Oryza sativa Japonica Group: one gene and its partners. The main gene of each other region encodes a partner of the protein of the gene in region 4 in a complex. Links are inferred from orthologs where the notes say so. Each region holds a gene or a part of one and is shown on either strand. Other genes may lie near its edges.

Region 1 (4,071 bases), on a different chromosome or scaffold from region 4:
TTAGAAAACAAAAATAAATCTCAAATTGGTAGTATGTGGAACAAACATATTTCATGAAAGCACAAAGCTTCTATAATGATAGCTCATCTGTAGAGCATTACAGTCCAGAGTTATGTGATATTGTGACATGTCAAGGATGCCCTTTTGTGTGAGGTTTCGTGTGTAGAAGGTAGATTGATTCTGAACCATGGAATTGTAAACATAAGTGTACTGACCATGATGTGATTATAGCTGAATCAGTCATTTGCCAAGAATATTGCTGGGAAGGGAAAGCATAGAAGATCATTTGTCAAATAGACCTGTATATGAGCAGCTCATCCCTGTATATGAGCAGCTCATCCCAGGTCTGCTTAAATGCTTATTTCATGTACTATAATGTATGTGTTCTGGGGAGTGGATTCTAATCCCTCGAGGGGATGTCCCCTCGTATATATTTTTCTTTCAAAATCAATGCAAATATAGTTGTTAAAAATTCTGAAAAATATTGACAATGTAGAGTACAATTATATCTAATAGTCCACCAAAAATAAAGTTCAAATTCGACCTACACATCGAGAACCCAAAAAGACAAATTCAGATATTAACAGTGCGGTACTATTTATACGCTGAATTTGTCTTTTTTTATATCTCGATGTGTGAGTTGAATTTGGACTTAAGATTTTGTGAAGTTGTATAGATATGTTGTATAAGTGTTGTCAAATTTTTCTAGAATTTTTCATAACCGTTTAGATGATTTTTAAGCGGCACATCCCCTCAAGGGATCAAAATAGTTTCCCATTTGTTCTTCTGGTAAAATATTCCAATACAAGTAGGCTGTGACTGATTGTTGAGTTGATTAGTCTATCTGAATTGTGATTAATCGTGAGCATCGTGAAGCATATACAACTGATCAATTTGGCTACTTGTTTCATTAAAAAAAACATTAACAAGTAATCCCATTGGTCTAAAAAAGGTTAACTAAATCCATTCTACAGTAGATTTATTAATGCAGAGATTCAAGTCCTAATAAAACTAATAATTGCAATTATACGTCAAACTGAATAAACTGTGACTTCAATCACGTAAAGTACAGTGGTAACTGGTGAGCTGCAGTAAAAGGGAAAGCTTAAATTCAACAGGAAAATGGTTTACCTCTTGCAAGGCCTTGGAAAGATCATCCATTGTTAACACAAGACGCCTATCCTGAAGAACAGAATGACTGAACCAGTAAATAAAAGTACTGATTTCATGCTAGTAGTACCATGGTACACCAACTGCAATTAAACCCACCTTAGGTTGCTTGCTCTTGTTATCTTTGATAGGTGCTGCTACCCTGGCTTTGCAGTGCCTAGTTCAGGACAATAATCATGTGATGAACAAATTAGTGTGCATGATACCTTTTAACTGTCACAAGTTATGATACAAGCAACACCATAAGAAGCTTGACTTTACACATAAAGTTTCAGTCAGTACTGAAATTAGATTCCCTACCACATCAATGTTATGCATATTTCGCAATCTATTGTCTTAACAATATAGACATAAGATACCATGTTTGATGTTTCATTCCATGGTCATAATGTGAGAAGGATGATAGAAACAAAAAAAAGGAAGCACAAAGAAGATGCAAGTTGACAGTATGAAGAAAACAAGCCTAAAATCAACATGGTTATCTCAAAAAGCTGCCAGCATAGGAGAAATGAGGCTACTCAACATCTCAAGAATGAAGCATATTGCATACACCTCCATTTATGAATGATGCAAGAAACCTCATGGTTCATGACCATCATCAGAAATCATATTTCTCATTCACTATCTGAAGGTAACGAAAATTCGACTCCAAGAATCGATAACCACTAAAAAGGAACAAAATAATCGCACATACGTTTAAGTTGGAAAACAAAACGAATGAGGCAGTAAAAGTTACATACTGAAGAGAGTCGCTTGCAATGTCCGAAATGAACTTTTGGGTGGCTACAGCAACCAGCCTCGTTCTGCAGAGAACACAAAAATTATGGTTCATAAGGCCATGCTGTCACACATGACGACCAACAATCACCAAGCTGAAAGGGATACAGCGATTTTCTCCCTCGACTAGAATGGCAACACGCTGCATTACAATGCAATCCTAACAGCCTCAATCAGATCTAACTGTCACCATGTTGTACGTACTAAGAATCAGGCAAAATTCAGTCCAAATCTCTTCAGTGATTTCCGGGCACTGGACGAATTTCAGTTTAATAACTACCAATTGGCCCATCCTGGAAGGCACGGTGCAGTCTTCCTGAAAGAGAGAAGAGATTGAACTATTGGAGAGATAGATGGGGGTGCTTACAGGCGGAGGTCGGGGCAGTAGAAGCCGCTGCGGCCAAGGTAGTGCTCCACCAGCTCGTCGGGAATCTGCCGCACCACCACCACCACCACCACCACCACCGCATCAGACACGAAACCCAAGAGAGGGGGAAGCTAGGGCAAGATGGGCGGCAGGCGCCGTACCGTAGGGGTGTAGTCCATGAGGGAGGAGAGGAACTCGGTGAGGACCGCCTCGTCGTCGTGCCGCCCGTCTCCGCCGCCGCCGCCGCCGGCGGCGGCTGCCCCCATGGGCCCTCCTCCCCCCATGCCCCCCGGAACCATGGCGCCACCGCCGCCTCCGCCTGCGCTGTTGCTCCCCATCATCCTCTGGTCCCCCGCCTTCGCCGGAGGAGCTAGTGGGGTTTGAGATCTGGCACGTCGGCGGGGAAGTTCGCCGCCGATGGACCAGGAAGAGCGGCGGGAGTCGTCGTCGTCGCCGGAGGCTCGAGAAGGAGGGGGGAAGAGGGAGGGGAGTGGTGGGCTGTACTCCGGCCCTTTTGGTAATAAGCGTAGGATGGGCGGAGTTCAGGCCCGTTTGGAAAAAAAAGGGATAAGTCTATTTTACACCTATGAAGTCTTCGTTTTTGTCTAAAACTAGAAAAAAAAAGTCTATGCATTGGAACGGGTAAATGCTATTTTAATTTTATTGTTGTTATACGGTTTAGCTACGGTAAAATTCACTGTGAAAATTTGATTGGATATTTTTTCAGAAAATCATGAGCTGCAATTAGGAGACCGTATTTAATTTGAAGTTAGCATGTGAGTTTTTTTAAAAGATTTCTTATACGACTTACTTCCAATAGGAAATAAGCTTAAAATCTAACTCAAACACGGTTCTGTATTTTCAAAAGTGAACGAACTTAAAAACCGACTCAAATATGGATGACAAACCAAAATTCTAGCAAAAACATCTTCAGTTTTTATAATAGTAGAGATACACCCAATACTCTAAAGCCGGATATTTCACACCCTCTAACTTTTAATACCATTCACTTTATACCCCCTGAGCGGTTTACACCACGTCAGCAGGTCCTACAGTCTTCTTTCACCTTCCCCTCTCTTTCGACTCCCTCCCTCTATGAGCTTGAGGCAGCCATGACGAGATGGACGGAGCTGCGAGCTAGATGCGAGCATAGAGAAGAAAGGGGTCGGCGGAGAGCTTCGTGCCGAGCCCACCCCCTTGGTCGTGCTCGGAAGAAAAGGAAGGTTGGCAGCAAGCTCGATGTGGAGCTTGCCCCTTGGCTGAGGTCAGAGAAGAGGGGGGTTGGCGGCGAGCTTGGAGAAGAGGAACTGCTGAGCACGGAGAAGACGGGATCACCAGCAAGTTCCAAGGAGGGTTGATGGGCAGTAATCGGCCCCTCCTACCCAAGCTTCGATGTCATCATAAGCTCTGAGATCCGCTGCCACTCGTCCTATCCAAGTGTTGCTGTCATCGTAGACCCAGAGCTCTCCCCCCCCCAACACCCACTTGCCGAGGTCAGAGAAGACAAGTGCCAGCAGCACAACCTCGATCCCACGATAAGCTCAATGAAGGAGCCGATGCCGCTGGGCCTGCTACACAAGCTCAGGGAAGTCGTCGGCACTCGCCTCATTGAGCTCAGGGAGGTTGCCTCGCTACTCTACTTGTTAAGCTCGGGAACTCATCAACGGCCTTCTACCCTCGTCATTCATCTCGAAGAGGAGAAGGAGAGGAAAGAGGAAGAAGAAGAGTAAGAGGAAAGAGGGGAGGTGGCCTACGGG
Region 2 (4,210 bases), on a different chromosome or scaffold from region 4:
TGTTATATTTTGAGACGGATGGAGTACTAAACTCGGTGGCATAAAGTCAATTCCTTAGTACCAAAGATAACAAAAAAAAAAACAAAGTGGGAGGTAGGCAACAAGTTTTAGGAATTAAAAAAAAAGGGCATTGAGGAACATTCTAAAAATGAAGTTGCCATTGAAAAAAGATGAATTCATATCTCCACCCGTTTCTCATTAGGTCCATATCTTCCAAGAATATTACTTTGGAGTATTGAAAGAGTTAAGATATCAAGTTGCAAGTTGTCATGTCATTTAAGACCAGAGGTTTGCCACTCTTTCTCCTTGTGCACATTACCACCACAACCACTAATCTAGTTGTAGGTCCCATTGCAAATCCTTGTTCATTCATCGTCATCGGTCCTTAAGCACATCGCCATGATCTAATTTTAATGGCACTTAGATTTAGCCATCTCTTTAGCGGCGGTGGCAAGTGCTCCAACATTGACTTCTAACTTTCTATTGGAAACGTTTAGCTATTTGGTTATCATTATTGTCGAGTTGTTGACGCTCTACTCTCTATTATCAGATCTAGCCATAGGTACAATAATTTGCCTGTTCCTCGTCCTTTCCCTATATGAACCATTTTCTTCACATTTCTAAGTACTAACTCATTATCCTTTTTTAAGTGCTCTAATATTTTTGAAAGTGTTATTTCTCCTTTATCTTTAAGTGGCTCATGTCTTCTTTATCTATGCTCTCCTGTATCTCAAGTCTAATGTTGCAATCACTGACTGAAAATCACCCAGTTCTCGTAAAAATGCCGTGGGGACTGGTTTACGAAAACTAAGTGGTTTTACTCCCTCAAATATAGCAACCTTGTACCTCTGTCCAGATTCATTGTACTAAGATATGTCTCATCTAGTACAGGTTGTTATATTTTGGAACGGAGTGAGTAGCAATTTTCGTATGAAATTGATTAAAAATTGCTATTCTTATTGTTTTTTTTACCAAACCGATACAAACCGGTCTTCACTCGAAAACGGTAATGCAAAACTGGACAATATGGTGTGTTGCAAAATTTCTCAAATGGCCCGTTTGGTTGGAGAGAGTTTTCAGGAGGGATTGGGAGTTTAGAGGGATGAGGCTATTAAGTGTTTTGTTTGGTTGGGAGACATAAGAATTTTGGTGGGATGTAGATCCCTCCTTTTCAATACGGCAGGTAATTGGGAGGGAATTCCTCCTTTACTTTGTCTAAGCAAATCTCAGCCATCCATTTTTATTAATGACCTAATCTCTAACTAAACTCCTTATCAATTTTTATCATCTCTACCAAACAAGATATTAGGATTAAAAATTAAATTCTCATCTTAATCTCATCCGCAATTCCCTCGTGTAAACTCCAAATCATACCATACAAGCCGCAAGGACCGGAAAATTCTCGAATCGCCGCCGGTACGCTCACCAGCTGCTTCCTTCCCTTCGCCGCCGGTACGCTTCCGCCGCGATTGCCTCTCCCCCTTCCCGGCCTTACGCTCCGCCGCTAGTGTGAGGCTGACTCCACTCGTTTCCTTCCAGTTCGCCCCTCAGAAATCCATCACGGCTGTGCATAGTGCACGCGAAAGCCCTAAATCCAAGCGGCGGCGAGGAGCGAAGGGAAGGGGAGGGGAGCGCCGCCGGCCGTCGGGAAGAGGGGGCGGGCGGCGTCCGTCTCCCTCCCTCACCCCTCGCGTCCTTCGCTCTTCCGCCGGGATGCAGAACCCTGGCGGCCACCACGCTAGCCCGGCCTCGGCGGCCAAGTCCAAGTCCTCGACCGCTGCCGCCGCGTCGGCGTCGGGCCAGGGGAGCTCCCACCACCACCACCACCACCACTCCGGCGGCGGCGGCGGCGGCGGCGGCGGCGCCGACGCGTCCGCCACCACCCTCAAGCGCAAGCGCGGCGTCTTCCAGAAAGACCGTACGGCACTGTTTTTTCTAAACTTTAGTACTGCTGCTGTTCTTCGAATTCGTTGTTTATGCTGCATTTTTCCCCGTTCTTGCAGTGCAGCACATGATGTACGGATTTGGGGATGATCCAAATGTAAGCCCGACCTCGATCTATGCCTTTCATCTCTTAATTTTCAGGCTAGGAATTGTTTGGGGATAGGATGCAATTTGTGTACTTTGTGTTGTGGAACATTGGAGGTAATTAACACCGACAACGACAATAATTGCAAGTAGGCCATGGATTTACAACACAACTACATGATTGCCTAAGAAAGAATGGACATGCTGTTCTACCTTTTAAGTTAAAATCTTGTATGTAAATGACATCTTTCTGTTGGTTTTGCAGCCGCTTCCAGAAACTGTTGCACTTGTGGAGGACATTGTTGTAGAATATGTCACTGACCTGGTAAGCTTTCATTGTATTTGTCTTTCTTGTTTTCTACTGAAATTACATTTATGAAGGTTGTATGGATGAAAGGAGTTTATTTGGATTTCGACATCCTTATTTGTTGCCTTATTTAATTCAATTCTAGTGTTCTGGAAAGAGTGATTAGGTAGTTTTCTGGAAAGAGTGATTAGGTTCAGTGCTTCTGTTTGTCGGGAAACATGAAGCCTTTTATGTTTTGAGAATTAATAGGGGCTTCACTTTAACCTATAGTTCATATTTGTGTAGAGCCCAAGGGCTTGAAGTTTGAACACTGGTTTCGGGAAAAAAGAACTACTCCCTCTGGAAAATAAGTTGCCAGGTCTCTACTGGACAAAAGTTCGATTCCAAAATTTTGAATCAAAAAACCAGTTACCAGCTAGTTACCGGCAGTAAACCAGTTTTGTGATAAAAATATTGGATTCGAACTTTTTGCATGCTAATATGTAATAATTCAGATCCGGCATATGAAAGTAAACTAGTGTACCTGTACATGAAATTTCAAGAAAATATAAAGTTATACTTTATTCTTATGGTCTCAAATCTGAACTTTAATTTAAGTGTGAACTGTACTTTGGACTAGATTTTATTTCCTAAGTTGCACATTGGATTAGGTATTATCAAAGGTTTTCACTTTGAACCAGCTTATGGTATCAAATTTTGCACTTTGGACCATTAGTCCCACACGTCAGCCTCCATATAGTCATCTTCCTCGTCAGTCCTCTCGTCTCCTCTCCTTGTGCGCCATCATGTGCTCTCGTTGCGGCAGCTCATTTGTGCAGGCCGCTATGGTGGAGCATCTTGCCAAGCCTTTCTCAGCTAGTCCACCACAAATAAAAGCCTTAATTAACTTTTTCCATCCTCAGTTCCCTTCTCAATCATAAACCACCAGATAAGTTGAAGAGCTTCATACAGTGACAAACCTTCCAGACCTCTCCATGCTAATCACCTGACCATCCCCTGCTCTTGCACCCACTGGCCGGAACACCGTCTCAGCGCTATGGTGGAGCATCTTGAGCTCAAATCAGGGGCTAACACTAGTGGAGCTCGAGGCTGAGCAAAAGCTGGAGCTGGTGGATTACTGTGCATAGGCAGAGTGTAGCGATTGTGATGGCATTGGTAGAACTGCGGGTGGAGAAAGAGTTCTACAGACAGTTATATAAGCCCAAATTGCAACATAGAGGCAAACATACATAATCCAAAGTAAAAACATTGGCTAGAGCATATGGTTCAAATAGAAAGTTGGGTAAATATTCCTAGCCCAAGGTGCAATTCACTCCAATTTAAATTGTTCTGGCTGGTACACTCCATACCTGTTCAGCAACGGTTATAGTTATCACCAGGATTTGCATCTCTTGTGGAGCCCTTTTTGTTAATGATTCATAGAGCTTTGCCATCTTTTGGCAGTTCTTCCCTGCTTAAATTATCTGTAAACTATATTAAGAAAGGCATTTTCTTTAAAGTCTCTATATAGTCTACTTTCCTGCATGATATGGAACCTTGAGTTTGTAATCGTGCATAGTGTAAATGAAATGTACCTGTGACATGGGGTGAAGATATCTAAACATGCCCCACTTGTCTGAATATATTTTTGTAGATAATTTGTCCATGCGTGATCTGAATACGCGACGATATGAATTTATTAGGTCTGTTTACCCTGCAGACTTACTTTGCCCCAGGTTGTTGGACAAAATTTTTACATGACTACAATCTAGTATGCACTCTGTAACAGCAGAAATACACACCAAACACAAGAATTTAGTTAACTGTAATTTTTTATTTGATTTTAAATACCTGCATGTGGATAAAACCATATGTGTATGTAATGTTTATTTATGA
Region 3 (4,252 bases), on a different chromosome or scaffold from region 4:
GGGCATTTTTAAGAGAAGAAATCGCATGCTTGTAATCTGTTTGGCGATTGGTCAGTCTGACATAGATAACGAATGTTCAGAAGGATGATATGCAGATTTGTCAGAGAACGTGCTGCCCGCGTGTGTCCTCAAGACTTCAACTGCAATATCTGGTTCTCCGTGTAGGCAGAGAGATGTTCCCCAACGCAATGCCGCGCAAAATAATCAATTTTGCCGGCAGAGCGACAACTTGTTTTATAATCTGAAAACGAACTGACATCTTATTTTATCTGTAAAATGTGCAGTTCATGTAGGAGCATGATGTGCGTCCATGTTTTGTCTGAAACCGACTGAAAGATAAACAGAGAGCACTGGAGTAAGAGAATTTTCTGATTGTTTCTACATAGGAGTAGGAGAGTTTAAGGCGAAAGTTACTGGATGGAAAGGAAGTCTGACTAATCGAGCTTACCCAAAAATTCACAAAACGTAGCATCTCCATCCCATCAAGAGCAATATGTGCTCTAGTTCTTGTTTTTCATCTTGAGGGAGAAATTATCCGATTAAGTTTACATGTCTGAAGAGCCTAATCATTTTTGTATATCACTTATATGTGCTGTCCTAAAGATTTGATTTATGGAAGAGTAGAAGACAATTCTCACTTCACATTCCAAACAGGTCATAAATCGACAATATCGCTTGTTATTGTGCGGTTTCCGCGGTAACCGGACTTACCTTTGGATACACTAATAGTAACTTATCCCGTCAAATTCAAATAAATTTACATAATAATATGAACTTCTAATAGCATCGTCTAGTTTTTCATGGTTTACCGTGTGATTACCGTGCTTACGATTGGGTGCGGTAACTCAACCCCTGATGGTAAGGTTAGCCCTGCTCTAACTAGGAAAAAACAATAACAAACAGATATATAAGACACAGGTTTAACATCAGTACTCTTAACTATTCCCTCCGCTCAAAAATATACTACCTCCATTCTAGAATATTCGTCGTTTTGAGTTTTTTATTTGTAATGTTTGACCATTCGTCTTATTTAAAAGATTATGTTATTATTATTTATTTTGTTTGTGACTTGTTTTATTATCAAAATACCTTAAGTATGACTTATCCTTTTTAGGTTTGCATTATTTTTTAAATAAGACGAATGGTCGAATATTGCAAGCAAAAAGTCAAAACGATATCTAATTTGGGATGGAGGTAGTAATAAATTTTGACACTTTCATTTGTCCACAAAAGGCTAGTGAATATTATTAATGGGCTGGGCCAAACACCCACCAAAGAAAATTCCCAATGGGCCTTGAGTGATCCCCAATATACAGCCCATTACATGTACACCCCAGCAATCCAGGCCCACACGCAGCGAGAGAATTCGACTCCCGTTTAATTCCGGCCCAAATCCATCTCTTTCGACTGCTTACTTCTGCCCTAATCCACACACGTATCAGAAATTCGGAATACTCTGTTCGCACTTGCCCTTCCGGAACGCTCCCAAACCCTAGGCGCGTGACCATGTCGGGGTCGTACGGATCCGACGACTACCGCGGCGGCTACGGCGGCCGAGGTCGCGTCGGGATCCTGCGGGTTGTGTGCGTGCTTGCTTCTGGATCTGCTCCTGACTGGCTTGTGGTTTTTTTTGTAGGTGGCGGCGGAGGCGGCCGTGGGAGGGGAGGTGGCGGAGGAGGAGGGGGAGGATATGGTGGTGGTGGTGTGGGAGGTGGATATGGTGGTGGTGGCGGAGGATATGGCGGCGGTGGCGGAGGGTACGGCGGCGGTGGTAGAGGTGGCGGTGGAGGAGGAGGCTACGGCGGCGGTGGCGGCGGCGGGAGAGGTGGGGGTGGGGGTGGCGGTGGCCGAGGTGGCGGCGGGAGGGGTGGAGGACGTGACGGTGACTGGGTTTGCCCAGACCCGAGGTTTGTTTCGTTTACTCATTTGACGTTGTCTCGTTTGATTCGACTGTGACTGATGAAATCGTGGTTGTCCCGATTGTCTTGTAAATTATGCTACTTGGCCATGAAATCTAGGGTTTTTAGGTTGTTAAATTATAAATTATTGGGTTATTTGATAATTTGGTTTAGGATTTTGCATGGGGCATGTGTGAAGTGTCCTACTAAATTTTTGTTTCATCGTAGTATTGTGAGCATCAGAACTGCCAACAAATAGTTAACTGCATAATTCATTCTCTATGAGAGCTCCCTATAATCTTAGGTCACAAGTGCTAAATTTATGTTGAACCTCTAGATACATAAATATTATGTTATACTTGTCTCCCATGATTTCTTCCCCTCCCCTATGTTCTATTTTCCTTGGTATAGCAGAGTGGCAGAGAAGAAATTTCATATATGTTTTTGAAATGAGTTCATGGTGTTATTGGAAGCATTACAAAATACAGTAAATAAGCACTACAAAATACAGTAAATACTTTCTTTTATGAATATGTTTCTTTCAATATGGCATTAGTTGTCTTGCTGAGTTGGTTATATTTTGCAGAATATTCGGTTGCAATTTCATTGGTTCTCTTCCAATATTCCTAATATATTTGTTTATCATTCTTGTTCCAGTTGTGGCAATGTGAACTTTGCAAGGAGGACTGAATGCAACAAGTGTGGAGCACCTTCTCCTGCTGGAGGTGGAGGTGGAGGTGGAGGTGGAGGGTATAATAAATCTGGTGGAGGGGGTGGAGGCTACAATCGTGGTGGTGGCGATTTTAGTTCTGGAGGTGGCGGTGGCTACAACAGAGGTGGAGGAGATTACAACTCTGGTGGCCGTGGTGGTGGCACTGGAGGGGGAGGAAGAGGAGGAGGTTACAATAGAGGTGGTGGCGATGATCGTGGATTTGATGACCACCGTGGTGGCAGGGGTGGTTATGGGGGAAGAGACCAAGGGAACAACCAAAGGGGAGACGAAAGTGGTTATGACGCTGGTAGCTATGGACAAGTTCCTCCTCAAGGTCCTCCTTCCTATGGTGGGCCTGGTGGTGACTATGCAGCACCTCCAAGCTCCTATGGAGGCAATAATGCATACAATTCAGATTCTGCAGTGCCACCTCCTAGTAGCTATGGTGGTGGTCCAGGTTCATATCCACCAAGTTATGGTGCACCACCTCCGAACCCGCCATATAGCGGTGGTGCTCCAGGTGGCCAAGGTAGCCTACCTCCTTCATATGATGGTGGGTATGGTGGTCGGCCTATGCCTGGGGGTGGAGGCCCTGGTGCACCTCCACCCTATCATGGTGGTGGTGGTGGTGGTGGTGGCGGCGGCGGTGGCGGCGGATACACTGGCAGTGCTGCTCCAGAGCCAGCTGCAAAGGTTAAGCAGTGTGATGCAAACTGTGATGAGACTTGTGATAATGCAAGAATTTACATCTCCAACTTACCTCCTGATGTGACTGTTGAGGAACTGCAAGAACTATTTGGAGGAATCGGCCAGGTATACTTTGACCTCCTCTTGAGCTCCCACATATTTAGTGTTTATGAACTGTGCATTTCACGATTCGCTCACTGAAATATTTTGTGCATTTTATGTCTTTTTTCTAACCTCATGTTTTTCATTTTATGTGTTTCGCCATAATATCTTTTTCCAGTGTTACTGATATTACTTGTTGGAATTTAAGTAAATTTACAAATCAGTATTCAGATGATGTTTATAATCTGTAGTTGGGCTTGTTAACATTTTTTTCCCCTTTTGCTTTCACTACTGCTAGCACATTGCAAGTCATAGTTTTGCACAAAATCTGCTCCATCTGTTGTATACAGCGCAGTTAGAGCGAGCTTATTACATATTGTTTTTTTCCTTGCTAGTGGAGAAGTACACCCTTGTGTTTCAATGTGCATAATTAAATTTGGATATTTGTTTTGATGTAACATAATCATCTTGCAGTAATGATGCTCTTTTTTTTTGTAGAAGTAGTAGTACTGTAATTTTAGTTATAACCAAGCCATTCAATGATTTTGTAGTAATTTTGCTTTACTCCCATATTGGTATTTTATGCCAAATAATTCGTGGCATATCACCCCATGATGTTAATGTAAAATCTTTGATAATAAAGTAAAGTTGGTTTTACAGATTACTTAGTGTTCCTAGCTAAATTTATTGCAAGAAATTAATTTCTTTAGTTTTGGGGGTGGTAACTGCTTGTGTTTCATGGCTGTGTTTTGAGTTTTTGCAACTGCTTTTTTCTTAAGGTTGGAAGGATCAAGCAGAAACGTGGCTACAAAGACCAGTGGCCCTGGAACATAAAGATCTATACTGATGACTC
Region 4 (4,210 bases):
AAAGAAGAATGAGAAGAAAACGGAAAAGAAAAGGAAAAAAAGAAAAAAAAGAAAAGGACACGTCACGTCCATGTGGCATTGCCACATCAGCGCCACGTAGGATCCTAGAGGGGATGTATCAATTTGGGGCCAAGATGATACACTTTGACAAGTTCTGAGACCTGGATATCCATTTTGAGAGTTTAGAGACATATACGACACAACCCTACAAGTTTAAGGACCGCCAACACACTTTACTCTTCTCTAAATAAAACCAATTTAACCTTTGAGTGTCCGCCTACCCTATTAGGGCAGTCCCAACCCATAGTGTCCATAAGCAGTGTCTATGATATCATGTCAATAAGACATCACAATAGAAACTACACTCTACAACCCATGGTTTCTTAAACTAGGCCACTAATAAATACATCATCTCTCTTCTCTACCAATCATATTTATTCTTCATCTATTATGAAGATACTATTCTCTCCCAATACAAAATTTGATAGTGTCTAGTGCATAGGTTCTCGTGTTGAGGCTGTGTCTTGCATGAGACCCAGTTTCTTCCTCTCTTCACTTACTCTCTGAATTAATATAGTGCCATATAAGCTAAAAGTCCTACATGGCAATGTAGTTAATGCTATAGACACCATCCTAGATGGAGGGTTGGGGCTGCCCTTAGGGCACCCACAATGGTTATCTATAGGCTCTCTACAAGAGATCTATGTCAGCATATTTTCCTACTTGGAAGGTATTAAATGAAGAGAGAGAGCAAAGCTATCTACTAACTTATAGATAGTCTATAGAGAAAAACGAGGCAATGCATGAGAGAGCTATAGATACCAATGTAGACATACTATTGAGGTGGTTTACTATTAATCGAGTCTATTGCTGAGATGTACATGTTTTATAGAGAGCACCTTAGAGCACCCGAACCATCCGCAATGGTTCAGGTGCTCTAAGGTGCTCTCTATAAAACATGTACATCTCAGCAATAGACGAATGGTTCGGGTGCTCTAAGGTGCTCTCTATAAAACATGTACATCTCAGCAATAGACTCGATTAATAGTAAACCACTTCAATAGTATGTCTACATTGGTATCTATAGCTCTCTCATGCATTGCCTCGTTTTTCTCTATAGACTATCTATAAGTTAGTAGATAGCTTTGCTCTCTCTCTTCATTTAATACCTTCCAAGTAGAAAAATATGCTGACATGGATCTCTTGTAGAGAGCCTATAAATAACCATTGTGGATGCCTTCCATGTTGACTTTGTTTTGTATAGACCATAGAAGCACCCGATAATCCACCCATCGAGTGACAAAGCTCCTGAATCGAGAATGGAAAATCCTGGCCGTTCATTCCCCGCCGTCGGAAGATGGCCGAAATCTTCCTGTGTTGAGGCATTCCGCATTCAGCCGACACGCCTCTCTCTCTCTCTCCGCTGCTGCTTGTGTCCTCCTCGCTCTCTCGCTAGTGTAGTCAACTCAAGTCGTCTCCCTCTCCCCATTTCGCCAGCTTGGGGTTTGGATTTCTCTCCGAATTCCGAGCTCCGCCGCCTCCGCGTGCCCGATTCCCCAACGGTCAACCCCTAAACCCTAGATTTCCATCCCGATTTCGACCACCGGTGCTCGAATTCCCCCGCAATTTTGGCGCTGCCACTCCCCCCCTCGATGGCGGCGCGGCCTGGGTTCGCGGCGGTGGGATAGAGGTGCCGCCGGTATGATTGGGGCGCGGCCGAGCGCGAAGGCGAGCATGAGCAGCAGAGGCGGCGGGGGTGGTGGCCGGGCCGGCAGGGTAGGCGGCGGTGGTGGCGGAGGAGCAGGAGGAGGAGGAGGAGGAGGAGGGGGAGGAGCAGCGGCGGCAGCAGCGGGTGGAGGAGGGGACTTCGGGAGGGCGGTGGCGAGGGCGGCGGTGGCGCGGATGCTGGAGGCGGCTGGCTTCGTCTGCGCGCACCGCTCGGCGGTGGACGCGCTCGTCGACGTCCTCCTGCGGTACATCTGCCAGCTCGGCCGTGCCGCCACGTTCCACGCCAACCTCGCCGGCCGCGCCGCCGCAAACGAGTGCGACGTCATACAGTTCCTCGAGGAGTGCGGCGCGGCCTACTATGGCTTCGCGGGGGCCGCCTCGGTTTCTGCCCGTTGCCTCGCCAACTCCGCCGTCGTCAAGGATATGGCCGTGTTTGTTGGCGCGTCCAAGGAATCCCCGTTCGCGGGCCGGCCATTGCCGAGGTTTCCGGTACAGCGTGTGCCGCTGCACTCGACGACGAGCTTTGCGGTCTTGGGTAGGGAGAGCGGGATGAGCCATGTCCCGGAATGGCTCCCGGCCTTTCCGGAACCTCACACGTATGTGAGGAGCGAGTTGTGGAGTGAGGAGGTGGCTAAGGCTGGGGCGGATGAGGTGGAGCGGGCGCGGCAGCGGAGGAAAGCTGAGAAGTCGCTGCTCAGCCTGCAACGGCGTCTTGCTCTTGCAGGTGCCGACGGGTTCCGACCAGGAATGCTGGTCGATGATGCAGTCAAAGCGAACGGACTAGATGTGGTTGAGAGCAAGGCGAATCCGTTTCATGAGCGAGCTTTGCCTTATGGGGAGAAGGCGGTGTCCGAGGTTACCATGCCTGGTGTGGGGAAGACATTCTCTGTTGTTGAGGCCTTCGCACCCGCATTTGAAGAATCAAAAGGTGGAGAATTTGATGAGGGTATGGATCAGGGCCAAAATGATAGTCAGACTCAGAAGAGGGTTGTTCCAAAAGAGAGGCCACCGGTGTATTTTAGAATTGGGATTGATAAGAAGTCAATGGTGATGGCACTGAATTCGAGAGCTCTGGTTGAACTGAAGGATCCCTGGTTCTTCAAGGAGGATAAGGAGCAGAGGGCAGAGTTGATACTAAGGGAAGCAATGGATAATCCACATGAACTTACTCAGCTTTAACGTTCCTGTATGTTTGCAGTACCCACAGAGCTGCATGGTGAATTTTGGACTGGCTAAACTAGGGACTTTTCAAATTCATGTTGGAGCAGCATTTGCCAAGATCTTGAGGTTTGTTTGTTTTTTCACTTAACTGTTCCTGGCAGATTTACTTCATAGCCATTACGTGCATCTCTATTAATTTGAGTGTATAACTGAAAACCACATAACTACACAAGAATATCCTTTTTTTTGTAATATGCACATTTTGTATTTAAAAGTACAAAGTTATCACATCACGAGATAACAGAGAATGCTACATGGATGGTTTATGTGTTGAATATATGTGGTAGTCACATTCTGTTATGCTTTTCCTTAAAGCTTTGGTTAGAAAAATAGCATCCACTGTATACAGTTCAAAAATTGCGAATCTACCTTCCACTGCTAGTTCTGATTAACTGGATTCCTTGTAGGCTACCACCACCGCACTAATATCCTAAATTAGAAGGATTGCTGATACGCACATGCAATCTATCTATCTATTATATACTAAAAGGTCATTAAACTTCCTCAAAACGCTCTCAAGCCGCCATATGGTGCTCTAATAAACTACTTCCTCCGTTTCACAATGTAAGACTTTCTAGCATTACTCATATTCATATAGATGTTAATGAATCTAGCCACATATGTGTATAGATTTATTAACATCTATATGAATGTGGGCAATGCTAGAAAGTCTTACATTGTGAAACGGAGGAAGTAAAGAAAATCGTAGAAAATCTGAGAAAAAAAAAGCAAAACATCTATCCCTTGATTTTCACTTAAATCAGTGGATCTTTAAATAAATCCAAACACGAAAAGTGACTATACTGTTCCACCTCTCCTTCCATGGTATATATATGTACGTACGTTAGTACGTAACTTTTTTTCTTTTCAATGTATATAGTTGAGACAATTATTATTACTATTATTAGTGATAATAAATTTTAAATAAAAGTTACTTTACAAACATAGAATAATATATCAGCATATAACTCTTTTACAAGTATACATAAATGAATTAGCTCTACAATACTTGAAAATAAAGTTTACACCATTATATTATATTATGTACCCATTATTTTAGATTATTTTATTAATGAAAATATTTGTCCATTTCTTTTGTTAAGTAGTCATGGTTGGTTTTACAAAGTTTCATTAATTTTTGTGATATAAATTATAGCGAACTTATTGATTATAATTTACATGACAAAACTATATTGTTAACCGTATTATATAATAGAAATAAACTTTACTTAAAAAACTTCAAAATTTATAAGTAAACTAT
Region 5 (4,102 bases), on a different chromosome or scaffold from region 4:
CCCCCTCCCCCCCTGTTGCTGAAAGCGATCAGCGCAACCGAAGCGAGGAATAATAATCGGCAATGATAGCGGGAGTTTGGTCAGACGAGCCTCAGACGAACAGCCGGTCGAATATTCACTCTCATCACCAGCAAAGCGGAAAAAAAAACACGACGATATATGTGGCTCTCGTCGTTTTATATTCACATGTATGATGTATCATACGGAGTATGATAGTATATATGTGTGTGCATATAGTATGTTGTTTTTTATATTCGTGGAGCAAAGTGATCGGCGCCAGAAAGCACCTTTGTGCCGTCAATTTTATTCAGGGGAGAGAGAGCTGCAAGAACTAGCGAAGAATATTGTTGTGTGATCTGGGTAAGTAATCTAATGGCGAGGCTTTGCTTGGGCAAAGAGGAGGTCAATGGTGAGCGAGCGAGAATCCTATGCGTTAGGATTAGCGGCAATAAACAAAACGGCCTCCACTAAACAAGGCGCGATACGGAGGTAATGCAAAAGCTGTGAGAGGGGGGCAAAGCAAATCCTATCCTCCTCCTGAATGCCCAAATCCCAGCGTGATCGATCGGGGTTGTTGTTTTTGTAGCTGCTTAAGCTTTTTATTGCACACGTTTGATGCATCGTTCTCAGGATGGGTCTCTCGGTGGGTCAGTGCCCACGGCTTGGGAGTTTTCTGGTCCCGAAAACCTGTTGCACGATGTGATACGTCTCGAACGAAAAGATGAAACTTTTTTGTTGCTGTTCTGATGATGGTAGTAGTAGTAATCCTGTTTTTTTTTGTTCCTTTTTTCTTTACTTTGCGCCCGGCCATTGTAAGGTCCGCATCGGAGGTAGGCCACATCACGGTTTCAACTGTGTATAAGCGTGTAACATCTGCCGTTGCTGAAAGAATGCTCCTCTGATGTTGTTCTCTGACGTAAAAAAGGAATCTAGGATTATATGTGATATATTCTAGTATAGTGTGTTCAAATTTATGGTATTAGGATGTGTTATATCTAGTACTAAGTTGGTCTTTTATAAGACGGAGGGAGTACGTCGTTAATATGTAGGTTCACGAACTGCAAAATTCATATGTCAGTTAGAGAATTTGTTTCCGCCGCTGCTGCACGCGCCGTGAGGCGTGAGCTGCTCAGCGGTGGCGCGTTCGGCACGAGCGATTTGATTCACCGGTGAAAATTCTCGCGGCCGCCACGGAGAAATCGGCCCAGAAATCCGGCCCGAGAAAAAGGCCCACGCGCGAAGCAGCCCACCAAGCCCGGCGGCGGCGAGCAGGTAGGTCAACCCCGGCCCAAAAATTTTCAGAAGACTCTGGACTCTTGCGATTCGTCTCCAGCCGCGGCCATGAAGGACCCGTTCGAGGCGGCGGTGGAGGAGCAGGAGTCGCCGCCGGAGTCGCCGGCGGCGAACGAGGAGGACGCGGCCGGGGCGCCCGAGGGATACGACGGCGCCAGCGGGTCGCGCGGGCCTCCGCTGCGGCTGCCTCCTTCGAGGGCCGCGCCATCGGGCTCCGGTGGTGCCGCCGCGGCCGCGGCGAGGGGTAAGGTGGTGCGGGTCCAGAAGGAGCAGCAGGAGGAGGAGGATGACGAGGAGGACCACATGGAGGTCGACCTCGACAAGCTGCCCTCCGGCACCAGCGACCCCGACAAGCTCGCCAAGATGAAGTAGGTGCTTGGCTGCGCTCATCCTAAACCTAGTTTTGCCTTCTTCTGGTGCGTGCTATATATGAAGGGTTAACTGCATAAGGATCAACTAAATTCAGGAACCATATGACCGTCTGTTGAGTATATACGTTCTTTGATCGAGTTCAGTGTTTTAGCGTCCTTCACCCTTTTAACTTTGGTTAATTTGTGACAGTAAGATTTGTACTAGTGGAAATTTCTGAATTGGAGTAAGGATTGTTCGTGATTGTAGTTACAGAACAACCTGACATTATTCACTTCATAAAGACTGTAGTCCCAGTTTCCAGCTATATGTGAAGCGTTTACTGGCATAAAGATCAGTTAAAGTTAGGAACCATATGACTGTCTATTGAGAATATGTTCTTGATCAAGTTCAGTGTATTTTGGTGTCCTTCACCGTTCAACTTTGGTTAATTTGTGACAGTAAGATTTGTACTAGTGGAGATTTCTGAATTGGAAAAGGGGATTGTTCTCAATTGTTTGTGATTTTATTTACAGAACATCCTGACATTATGCACTTCTCAGATTTATGTTCCAATATATATAGTGAAATATTAAACCCATCTAAATAAGAATTCTATGTTTGAAAAACTATGTACTCCTTTTCCAGTGCCATACTGTCTCAATTTACAGAAGACCAGATGAACCGGTATGAGTCATTCCGCAGATCTGGATTCCAGAAATCTAACATGAAAAAGGTATGATCTCATTCCCAACATCCATTGATTTAATATCGTACAAGTATAAACTGCAATATCATGTGCGTGTGATGCGTGTGGCGCCTCCATCTGAATTGGCTTCAGTGTTCCCCTTTGCAATAAAAGCTTTCCACAAAATGTGGATCACATTAACATTTTCTGCTTTCTTAAGTCTTACAGTTACCTTATTTTCTGTTGAATAACACCTGTTCTATTTTGGTTCATGTTTCTTTTGTGGATGCATACCATGAGTTGTACAATGTACCATGCATGTCTTGTCCAAATTGTTGATAGAGCTTCATGTACAGGACAGTTGATTTCGCTCCAAGTTGTAGATAAATACATTTTTGCCTATGTCATCGTTTCTACTGATTGTAAGTGATGTACACTCTCTAAATAAAAAACCAAACTTGGTCAATATTCTTTTCTTCAATTTATAGGCAGGCTAAGAAAGCCTTTTTGTAGTGTCAATCCAAAGTTTGACCTTTTTCTCGGTAAAAATGTTACTTTTGGCTGTTGAATGCCTGAAGTTAACAATGCTTTGAAATTACGTTCTAGTCAGAGGGACAAGTGCTTTAATGTATTTCCTCATCAGTGGTTGAAATATGAGATCACTGCGTTATTGGAATGTTTTTCGGAGTTGCTAGAAATATGGCGCCATATGCTACAGTCGATTTTTTTTAACCACTTACACAGTAGTTACACCTCATTTACACCCCATTTACATATGTAATTAGTATGTAATTTCGAATTTACATATGTAATTTTATTACTTACATATGTAATTTTGAGACTTACATTGTAAATACACTAAAATTACATATGTAATTTAGGGACTTACAATGTAAATACATGCCGACTATTTTTTGATGAAAAATATGACGCCATAAATATAGCTACACCCATGTTTTTTTAAAGTTGATTTGATATTCTGTTTCCATGCAGCTATTGGCGAGCATTACTGGCAGTCAAAAGATTTCTCTACCAACAACAATTGTAGTATCAGGAATTGCAAAGATGTTTGTTGGTGAGCTTGTTGAAACAGGCAAGTCTAGAGTAATTATCTTATTTACTTTGTTGCTCATAGAACACTACCACCAAAGCACCTATGATTTTGATGTATGCTCATCTCTTAAAGCAAATCACTCTTATGACTGATCTTTTGTAATCGTCCGTGTTCAAATGTCCTTTTCTGCTTTCCATAAACTTGTTCTCTGACATCAGAAGAAAAAGGAGGGATGGCTTTATTCACTTTATTTTTGACAATTCGATTGTGTCTGTTGCAGCTAGAATAGTTATGACTGAGAGGAAAGATTCTGGACCAGTAAGGCCTTGCCACATCAGAGAAGCCTACAGAAGATTGAAACTTGAAGGGAAGATCCCACGGCGGACTGTTCCCAGGCTCTTCCGTTAGAATTGAAGCATCTCTGTTGATCCCAGTCGACACTGAGATGGTCCTTTCTGCGGTCAGATGCGCGGAAAGAGAGAATGACATGAGATGTATTTCTTCAGCTTTGTGAAATTGTTACTGTGATTTCTGTCGCAGCAAGGGAACCAGAGCAAACAGTACGTACAAGCTGAAGTACTACGGTACTACTAGCCGTGGAAAATTCTATGTATAAAGTATTGGCCGTAGGCTGTGAATTTTCAGGCTTATGAATAGTTGAACTGTGTACTATGCTGTTTGGAGTATGCGCTGAATCTGATTATATGCTTGTCTGCAAT

What was found.
Region 1: transcription initiation factor TFIID subunit 8 (region 4) and transcription initiation factor TFIID subunit 10 share a complex: the UniProt entries of both Arabidopsis thaliana proteins name them as parts of the TFIID complex. The link is inferred for Oryza sativa Japonica Group from reciprocal best matches to the Arabidopsis thaliana genes TAF8 and TAFII15.
Region 2: transcription initiation factor TFIID subunit 8 (region 4) and transcription initiation factor TFIID subunit 13 share a complex: the UniProt entries of both Arabidopsis thaliana proteins name them as parts of the TFIID complex. The link is inferred for Oryza sativa Japonica Group from reciprocal best matches to the Arabidopsis thaliana genes TAF8 and TAF13.
Region 3: transcription initiation factor TFIID subunit 8 (region 4) and transcription initiation factor TFIID subunit 15b share a complex: the UniProt entries of both Arabidopsis thaliana proteins name them as parts of the TFIID complex. The link is inferred for Oryza sativa Japonica Group from reciprocal best matches to the Arabidopsis thaliana genes TAF8 and TAF15b.
Region 5: transcription initiation factor TFIID subunit 8 (region 4) and transcription initiation factor TFIID subunit 11 share a complex: the UniProt entries of both Arabidopsis thaliana proteins name them as parts of the TFIID complex. The link is inferred for Oryza sativa Japonica Group from reciprocal best matches to the Arabidopsis thaliana genes TAF8 and TAF11.

What each region holds. Positions count from the first base shown.
Region 1 is NC_089043.1:20,160,795-20,164,865, forward strand, and holds the start of transcription initiation factor TFIID subunit 10, read right to left. Parts: upstream 2,807-4,071; 5' UTR 2,656-2,806; coding exon 2,476-2,655; intron 2,380-2,475; coding exon 2,315-2,379; intron 1,974-2,314; coding exon 1,911-1,973; intron 1,328-1,910; coding exon 1,270-1,327; intron 1,183-1,269; coding exon 1,132-1,182; intron 1-1,131. UniProt on the Arabidopsis thaliana protein: TAFs are components of the transcription factor IID (TFIID) complex that is essential for mediating regulation of RNA polymerase transcription.
Region 2 is NC_089035.1:13,333,546-13,337,755, forward strand, and holds the start of transcription initiation factor TFIID subunit 13, read left to right. Parts: upstream 1-1,409; 5' UTR 1,410-1,452; intron 1,453-1,539; 5' UTR 1,540-1,713; coding exon 1,714-1,918; intron 1,919-2,003; coding exon 2,004-2,041; intron 2,042-2,293; coding exon 2,294-2,353; intron 2,354-4,210. UniProt on the Arabidopsis thaliana protein: TAFs are components of the transcription factor IID (TFIID) complex that is essential for mediating regulation of RNA polymerase transcription. May be involved in polycomb repressive complex 2 (PRC2) mediated repression.
Region 3 is NC_089035.1:3,329,991-3,334,242, forward strand, and holds the start of transcription initiation factor TFIID subunit 15b, read left to right. Parts: upstream 1-1,448; 5' UTR 1,449-1,506; coding exon 1,507-1,558; intron 1,559-1,636; coding exon 1,637-1,907; intron 1,908-2,555; coding exon 2,556-3,423; intron 3,424-4,178; coding exon 4,179-4,252. UniProt on the Arabidopsis thaliana protein: TAFs are components of the transcription factor IID (TFIID) complex that is essential for mediating regulation of RNA polymerase transcription.
Region 4 is NC_089037.1:23,460,514-23,464,723, reverse strand, and holds the start of transcription initiation factor TFIID subunit 8, read left to right. Parts: upstream 1-1,402; 5' UTR 1,403-1,701; coding exon 1,702-2,907; 3' UTR 2,908-3,015; intron 3,016-4,210. UniProt on the Arabidopsis thaliana protein: TAFs are components of the transcription factor IID (TFIID) complex that is essential for mediating regulation of RNA polymerase transcription.
Region 5 is NC_089035.1:28,595,787-28,599,888, forward strand, and holds the start of transcription initiation factor TFIID subunit 11, read left to right. Parts: upstream 1-1,300; 5' UTR 1,301-1,341; coding exon 1,342-1,661; intron 1,662-2,289; coding exon 2,290-2,377; intron 2,378-3,322; coding exon 3,323-3,422; intron 3,423-3,663; coding exon 3,664-3,791; 3' UTR 3,792-4,102. UniProt on the Arabidopsis thaliana protein: TAFs are components of the transcription factor IID (TFIID) complex that is essential for mediating regulation of RNA polymerase transcription.